Alligator mississippiensis: one gene and its partner. Each later gene encodes a partner of the first gene's protein in a complex. Links are inferred from orthologs where the notes say so. Each region holds a gene or a part of one and is shown on either strand. Other genes may lie near its edges.

Region 1 (3,910 bases):
AGTCACTTAAAAGTTTCCTCATATCACTCATTCTACAAAAACCATTTTTTTTTTATAAGAGGTGAAACAGCAACATTTCATCAAATGATTAAAGCTACTGTGTCACTTGCTTTCTCATTGACATTATTCACAGTTACTAGCTATCCTTTTGTTTGCAGTCAGTAAAAGTGGTATCGTGCATTTGGAAGGCACTCAAGCATCAGTCTTTAGAGCTGGATCCGCTATCTGTCCTCACTGCATCCAGTAGTCAGGACTGAAAGTTGGTCATGGTAGCTGAAAGGGTTCACTTGCATCCCCACTAAAGTTGTTAAAGTCCCACTGTATTATAACATGGGAGTCCTACTCAGGACAAGTAGCTTTAATTAATTAAATGCATCTCTTCAGACATAGCCAATAGAAGTGCCCTATACTGGTCATTTATGTATGTAGTACCCTCCCCGCACCATTTCATGTATGTTGGGAGGACTGAGTGACAAAGCATGTGTAAAAAAAGATCTGGGAATGAGATTTAGAGACTAGAACAGGACTACTATGAACTAACAACAAGGAGCTCTTCACTCCAATCTTGGATGAGCCCCTTACTCATGTGGCTTTTTTGTACCCTAAACAACGTAGCTGTAAAGCAGGCCACAATAGGTGCTCACAGCTGCTGTAGCTAAGTTTGAGCTTTCCTGTGGAAATTAATAGCTCCCCTCCATGACATACAGACAAGCCTCAAACTGTTTCTGTACTCCAGTTCCAGCTCCACTTTCATTGGTAGCAAATTTCTCTGTGACACTAAAAACGTAAGTCTGGGTACTTCTCACTACAAGATCTGAACTAAGGAGGTTTGCCAATAGTTACAGACAAACAAAATCTTAGTCATTTAAAGGGAAATACACTCTTTTCCTCCAGTGCTGGTAAATGCCACTGTATATTCCCATGAGGCATTTAGAACCACATTTGGATTTTTTTTATATTTCCCTCTTTCAGGCTGATGCCACTGTTTAAAAGTAGCAGCCCACTGTCAAGTCCAAAAACTTAAATGAACTTTCAGCCATTGCCTGCATATAGAAGTAGCATCTGCTTCCAAAACAGGAATCAGAATTACATAGGAAAAAAGCCAGTTCTGCCCAATCTGCAATAATTTATCCACATTTATGAGCTATGAATTAAGAGAATGTAAGCAACAGAACTACAGTAGTAGTAATAGATACCTAGTCTGGCTTGCGTAATACAGTCCTTTCTGCAAGGATCCTGACAGCAGAAGGAAGAGGTTCCCTGACCCCAAAAGAGGCCTCTTATTCTCTCCCTTGTACAGCCGTTTCCTTCAGGTTCGGTCTCGGCTGAACACGTCCTTGGGCCCTCAGTTTTTTGAAGAAGTGGTTTTATTGTGGTTCAGTGACGTATGCCTTGAGAGCCACCTGCAGCACTCGTTTCACTCACTAGGGTCTCAGGATTGCAGACTTCAGTCCGGCAGGGCAGCTTCTAGTACCATCAACCATGAGTGCACACCAGCCCGGCACCTGTGCTACCAGAAACCCACTTCGGTTGCTTGGTAAGGGCATATACAGTATACAGTCTCCTCTGCTCCCTTACTACTTAGTCCTTTCTCATTCCTACATTCCAACTTTCTCCCCTCATTCTTTTCTTCTCTTTCCCTCTTTTTCAGCTCTTTCTTTTTCTTCTCCTTCTCTTTCTCACCTTTCTTTTCTCTTTCTTGGGTGCTAATCTCTCTTATCTCTCTTTTACACCTCTTGTGTCTCCTACCTTCCCTAGTCCCTTTAGGCTTTTGCATCCATATATATAAAGGCGGGGGGAGGAGGAGGGAGTTCAAACTAATGTTTTAGGTGTTGTTTTCCAGTGTAAAGAATGTTAATGTTGACCTACCCTGATTGTCTTAGGCAATATAAAAGCAATTTTTTAGATAACTTTCCTATGGAAAACCCTGGCAATAAGCTCTAAAAGTGAATCTGTGCATTTTTTGCTGTTATATTGGGTAGGTAAGTTTTGTTCAATGGTGAAAATGGAATAACAAATGCTTCTGGTTTGTTCATTGCTATGATGACATTCCACTTTTCATGACTCGGTTTCCCCAAGAATATACAAATTCATAAAGATTTAGCAGTTAGGAGAAATGGAGACCACAGTTATTCTGAATAAGATGCCCACTGAGGTATTTTCCTTTGACTCTAAAATAAGCTGCTTGCTGACGTAAACATGTAGTTTGTTAAAAAATCAGGACTGAAAACTAGCGGAGGAGGGGGGTTCTGACTGCCATATATGACTGGGAAAGTCACTTTGTGGCTTAATTTCACCAAGGGATAACAACTTTTGTGTGCTTCACAGAACTGTTATTAGAGATCCTCATCCATGTTTGTAAAGCCCTGATTTTGAGATCTTTGGAGGAAAGATGGAGTAGGAATAAAAACTCTTCTTTTGCGATATCCTGCTTCAAATGACTCTAATGAAACTGCTACTGAAACATATCATGTCAAAGATGTATTTTGGTGCATTTTCTTCTTAGAAATCAAAGGATCTAAACAAGCAACCATTGTGATAGTCTTAAATAGCCCACTGAAAAGTAAGCATTAATTATCATTGTCTGTATTACAACAGTGCTGATAGGCCCTCCTTGAGATCAGGGCCACCTTGTGCTAAGTATTGCACAAAGGCAGACTGTGCCCTGAAGAACTTACCTTCTAAACAGACAAAGGGTGGGGGACAGGAGGACAGTTGTTCTTGGTTGTATTGCTGCTCATTGTGGAGATGTTTGATTTAGCCATTCAGAAATGTAGCAGAAATCAGAAGCCTTGTCATTTCTATGGAAATTACTGGCTTCATACACTTATACATACATTTTTTTAATACAACTGTTTATGGGTTTAATGAGAGATACTGACATTCTTTAAAATGAAGTAACATTTTCCCTGAGATTATGTCAAGGTTCTTCATTATTCCACTGAGATGTGAACTGAACACAAGTAATGTAGAAGATCCTAGGCTAACAGACTTTATCCAGCTGATATAATATTGTCAGCAGAAAACCATGCACTTATCCAGAAAAAGAAAAACTACATTGAAACTCTCCAGAACTGAGACAAGTATGACTACACAAAGTTAAGGCTCCCTCTCTGTCTTTACTTATAGGTCTGCAGTTGTAAAAATCTCAGCACAAACCATGTTTTACACGTGTTTATTGCTGCAAAAGTCAAGTATCAATAGTATGGAGAGAGATCCTGGTAACGTTATAAACCAGCGCTTGTTTGTTTCTCTTACGGTTTTTCTGGCCACCCTCACCAGATGAGATGTCTGTGTTTACAGCTAATTTACCTAGCGTGAAAATAAACCTTACTTTCACAAACCCTGCTGGCAAAATACAGGGAGGTGATGGAATCCAGCTCCCTTCCTCAACCTCATACTTTAGGTTATGACTGGAAAAGCATTCTCTGCTCCTGTGTATCACTTATGGAGATGCATAATCGCTGATCTTGAGGCTGTCTCTAGTGCCAAACTGAACTGGTTTCTTGTAGCTTTACCAATAGACCTCTCCATGGTGCCCCAGTTAAGAAGATTATTTATAAGGAAGTAGTGCTTGTGCTGGCCCTCATTAAGGTGCATTCTGCCTGTAACAAATTGGCTTGTTTCATTTATCTGTGTAACATTCAGTTTCTACCACAGCCATTCCAGTCTATTCCAGTCCTGCAGAATCCTACAGCTACAGGACAAGTTAGAGAAATCCAGTTATGAGTTTCTGGCTTAGGTTAAAATCCTGCAATGAAGCCGAGGGAAATTTTACTTGAGTAAGGACAGCAAGTTCATGCCTTAACAGGCTCTAGACCAGACTGCAATTTGTCTGACTGCTAAGAGGCAGTAACTCAAATCAGAGAGCACATAGAACTCAAAGCTCAAGTGTGCCAGAAATGTGATT
Region 2 (3,910 bases), on another chromosome or scaffold:
GAACCAAAGGTCTTAGACCAAGGTGGAGCCATAGCTGGCCAGGGCTCTTATTCAGAATGATGTTCCTGTTATTTTGTTCTGCATATAATTTTGGTGCCCCCCCCCATATTTTGGCACCTTAGGTGACTGCCTAGTTCACCTAATGGTTGGACTGGCCCTGGGTGGGGTGACTGTAGGGAGGGTGTCCCTGGTGGGGGAGGGGGATCTGGGCCAAGGGGCCCTATATGTAGAGGGTGAGGGGGTCATGGGGATGGGATGGGAGCCTGGACACCTGGGTTCTCTCCCAGCTCTGGGGAGAGCTGGGGGATGAGGGGGGTAGGAATCTGAATGCCTGGGTTCTCTCTGGGATGGGAGGGTGGGGGGGAGTGGAAACTAGTGTATCAGTTTGGTGGCTGAGGGGGCAGGGCTGGCACCTGAATGCCTGGGTTTGCTCCTGGGCTGGGGGTTTAGACAATCCCTCAATCCCTGCCTCAATCCCCGACTCAATCCCCCTGTCCTTCCCCCTGCTTGTCAAGGGGCACTAGCCAGCCCAGGGCCCAGCTCCTGCTCCTTCCACCCCCTCCCCCCTACCCCCAGCAGGTTGCCACCTCCCCACGGCTGTGTGCAAGGTGCTGTACATGGTCGGGGCATCCGGCCACGGTTTCCATAGAGACGCTCTGAGCTCTGGGACCCACAGGATGCTGAGACCGCAGCGAGCACATGCTGCTCCCAGCCCTTTACGAGTGGGGCTGGGAGAAGGGGGGGGGGTCACTGCGGGGTGGGCTGTACCCTGGCACTCGGCCTCGGGGACATCAGACTCTATTCCCCTCAGCCCTGGGTGCAGGCCCCTGGAGTAGTGAACAACCTCTCTGGCAGTGCCCCCATCCCGTGGCACGGCCTTCTCCCCGGGGGGTAGGGAGCACCTATGTAGTCTTCAGGCTGGTCAGGGGATTGCGGGTCGGGAGTGAGGGGCAGCGGCAGGGCTGGGGAGAGGGGGCAGGGGGCTTCGAGTCCGCGGTGCGGGGCACGAGCAGGGCTGGGCCACGATCCCGGATGCCCAGTGCCCGGCACGGGGCCGGATTCAATATTTGCCCAGGCTAGGTGGGGCGCGGGCAGGGCTGGGAGGATGGAGGGCAGGTAGAGCCGGGCGGGGGGCGCCAGGACCCCATCGCCCCCCTCTGCCCCAGCCAGACCCAGATCCCCCCACCCCGTGCAGGGATCCTGCCCCCCAGCCCGGGGGGTCCGCCCGCTCCGCCCCCGCCGGTCCCGGCCACTTTCACTTTCGGTGGCGGCCTGGCTTGGGGCAGCGGGCGGCAGCGCCTGGGGGGGCTCGGAGAAGCCCCCCCTTCCCCAGAGCCCCCCCCCCACTGCTCAGGTAAGAACTGGGGGCAGTCCGCGGCCCCTGCCAGTGGGGTTGGGGTGCAGATCGGGGTGGGAGGAGGTAGTGTGTCCTGCCCCCATACCCCTCCCCCCGACCAAGCCCTGCCCGTGCCCCTCATCCCGACCCGCAGTGCTCAGTGGTCTGCCCTTTGCCAGCCCTGCTGGTGCCCCTCACTCCCAACCTGCAGCCCCTGTCCTCTCCTAGGCCTGTCTCTACCCCCACCCCCGCTTCTTTCCAACCAATAGCCCTCTGGAAGCCTATCTTTGCCCCCCCCACCCGGGCCCTCTACCTCCTGCCCCTCCCCAGCCCTGCTGGTGCCCGTCAATCCCAACCTGCAGCCCCGTCTCCCTAGCCTTGCTGGTGGCCCTTACTTCTGACCCGCAGCCCCTTTTCCTCTCCCACCTCTGTCCCTCTAACCAGGCCCGTGCCCCTCATTTCAACAGCCAGCCCCCTAACCAGTGACCTGTGTTGCCCCACAGCTGCCCCCGCTTGAGGGAGCCCCCCGGCATGCCGGCCGCCCACCCCTTGACGTGGAGATGACTTGGTGCCATGCACCCCCGGACCCCCAGTCCCTGCCCAGTGCCTCTGTGGTAAGTTGTGGGGAGGGGAAGAGGATATGGGATGAGCCTGGGGAGGTTTGAGGGGAGGGGCTGGTCGTGGGTGAGGGGTGCTCCCAGCTCATCCTTCCACCTCAACAGGCTCCCCTGCTGCTGCTGCTGCTGCTGCTGGCTCTGGCCCCCCCTGGGCAAGGCTGCATCTTCGAACACGATCCTTTCAGCACCACCTTAACCAGAGACATAGAAGAACTGGTAAGAGCCAGGGCCCCACCACAGCTCCCTCTCCTTCCAGAAACCCCCCACCCCGCCCCCAAAGTCACCTCTGACACCCCCATGCCAGTCCCCAGCCCAGTCATGGGCAGCTTCCACCTGGGGCCCCTTCTGCCACACTCCCAGCACCCCCAATCCCCATACCCCCCAGGTGTCCCTGCTCACCTCTTCTGGAGCCTCCAAATCTGCCAGGGTGAAGAGGGACTCCCAAGCAGCCCCCCTATTCCCAGTCCCCCCCCCACTTACCCCCCCCACACTTTTTTTCCCCTCCCCAGACCCAGCTGCTGCTCCTGGACTACCCCGTCTTGTTGCCCTCCAACCTGGAGCCGGTGAGATCCAGGGGGCACCCATGCCCCCCACCTCCCTGCCTGCTCCCTCCTCATCCTGTGCCACATCTCATCTCCCCATCTCTCCCCTCCAGGACCTCTGGTGCTACGACTTCTGGGTGATCCACTTTGTGGCGGCTGAGCTAAGGCACATGGAGCAGGTCGCAGGGCGCAGCCTGAACCCCAAGATCCAGACCGTGGCCAGACAGATCCACTTCCTCCAGGACTGCAACATCAGTGTAGGGCAGGGGAAGGCATGGGGGGTGGGTACCCTCAGTGGGGTTGTGAGGGGGCACTAGTAAGCTTGAGGGGGTCTGGGGACCATTGGTGGGGCTGGGGGCATGTTGTTTGGTTGAAGAGAGGGAGTACAGGGGCTGTGGGTGCCTGTTGGGGGGTGGCTGAGCCTGTGACCCCCTCGCCCCACTCTGCAGGACCCCCTAGGCTGTACACGGCAGGGGCAGACCAATGTGTCGCAGCTGCTGGGCGCCCTGAGCTACCACATGGGAGAGCTGGAGACACGGTGGCAGCAGGAGCCATGGCCTGTGACGATGAGCAACTGCACCTATGTGCGCTGCCGGACAGGTACGTCCCGCCTCGGTAGCCTGGGATCCAGCCCTAAATCCTGGGCCCCCCAGACCTCAGTGCCCAGTACCCCAGCTCTCAACCCACCTTGAACCCCCAAATCTGGGACCTCCAAACTTCAGTACCCATGAACCCCTTCCTTGATCCTCCTGCCCCCTAAAACTACCCCACTGAGCCCTTAGCCCCTCCCCCTGCTCCCTCCACCCCACAGTTAACCCCAGGCCACGGACCACCCAGAACCCACTCCCACTACCTCGTTGCCCTGCAGAGGCCTGTCCCCCTACAGCCCTACCCCTGTCTCCCCTAGACTCTGAACCCCACCAAACTAAGCTTGGTATTCCCTGGCCCTCACCCCCCCCCCATTTCTCTGTCCCCAAACTGCAGGACCCCCAGCCCCACTGAGCTTCCACAGCCCCTCAGCCTTCCTCTGACCCTACTTCAGATAACCCTAAGATTCCGCCCCCCCCCCCATCAACTGCACCTCTCAGAGACCTGGGAGAAGTTGCTTCCCACACTGAACCCCCCCAAATCCACACCCCCCACCACAAGGATGTTCCTATCACCTCTTACTCCACCACCTCCCTGAGTGTCCAGTATATGTGACCCCTCCCCTCCCCTCCTTCAGACCCCCAGACCCAGCTCCAGCTCTGTTTTGTGTCTCCAGATACCCCTGACCCCACATCTGAGATGGCCTCACTGCCAGCCCTGACCTACTCCAGGCAGAAGCAGGAGAGGACCCTGGTGTCCAGGGCCAGCCCCCAGACTGGGGGGCTGGTCTTGCTAATCTTGGTGCCCACTCTTTTGTGTCTGGGCTT

What was found.
Region 2: the proteins of FLT3 (region 1) and FLT3LG are in contact, whole or in part, in a crystal structure (PDB 7QDP), measured with the Homo sapiens proteins. The link is inferred for Alligator mississippiensis from reciprocal best matches to the Homo sapiens genes FLT3 and FLT3LG. Residues at the interface, in NP_004110.2 of Homo sapiens: Asp180, His279, Gly280, Phe281, Gly282, Met300, Ser301, Thr302, Tyr303, Asn306, Arg307, Met309, Arg311, Ser333; in NP_001191431.1 of Homo sapiens: His34, Ser35, Pro36, Ile37, Ser38, Ser39, Asp40, Lys44, Lys87, Glu99, Asn102, Thr103, Glu104, His106, Phe107.

Annotation. Positions count from the first base shown.
Region 1 is NC_081824.1:427,830,430-427,834,339, forward strand, and holds the start of FLT3 (receptor-type tyrosine-protein kinase FLT3), read left to right. Parts: upstream 1-1,446; 5' UTR 1,447-1,482; coding exon 1,483-1,537; intron 1,538-3,910. UniProt on the Homo sapiens protein: Tyrosine-protein kinase that acts as a cell-surface receptor for the cytokine FLT3LG and regulates differentiation, proliferation and survival of hematopoietic progenitor cells and of dendritic cells.
Region 2 is NC_081828.1:39,620,640-39,624,549, forward strand, and holds the start of FLT3LG (fms-related tyrosine kinase 3 ligand), read left to right. Parts: upstream 1-823; 5' UTR 824-1,354; intron 1,355-1,839; 5' UTR 1,840-1,896; coding exon 1,897-1,950; intron 1,951-2,058; coding exon 2,059-2,169; intron 2,170-2,462; coding exon 2,463-2,516; intron 2,517-2,608; coding exon 2,609-2,752; intron 2,753-2,944; coding exon 2,945-3,095; intron 3,096-3,759; coding exon 3,760-3,910. UniProt on the Homo sapiens protein: Stimulates the proliferation of early hematopoietic cells by activating FLT3. Synergizes well with a number of other colony stimulating factors and interleukins. Required for the development of B cells, and dendritic cells (DCs).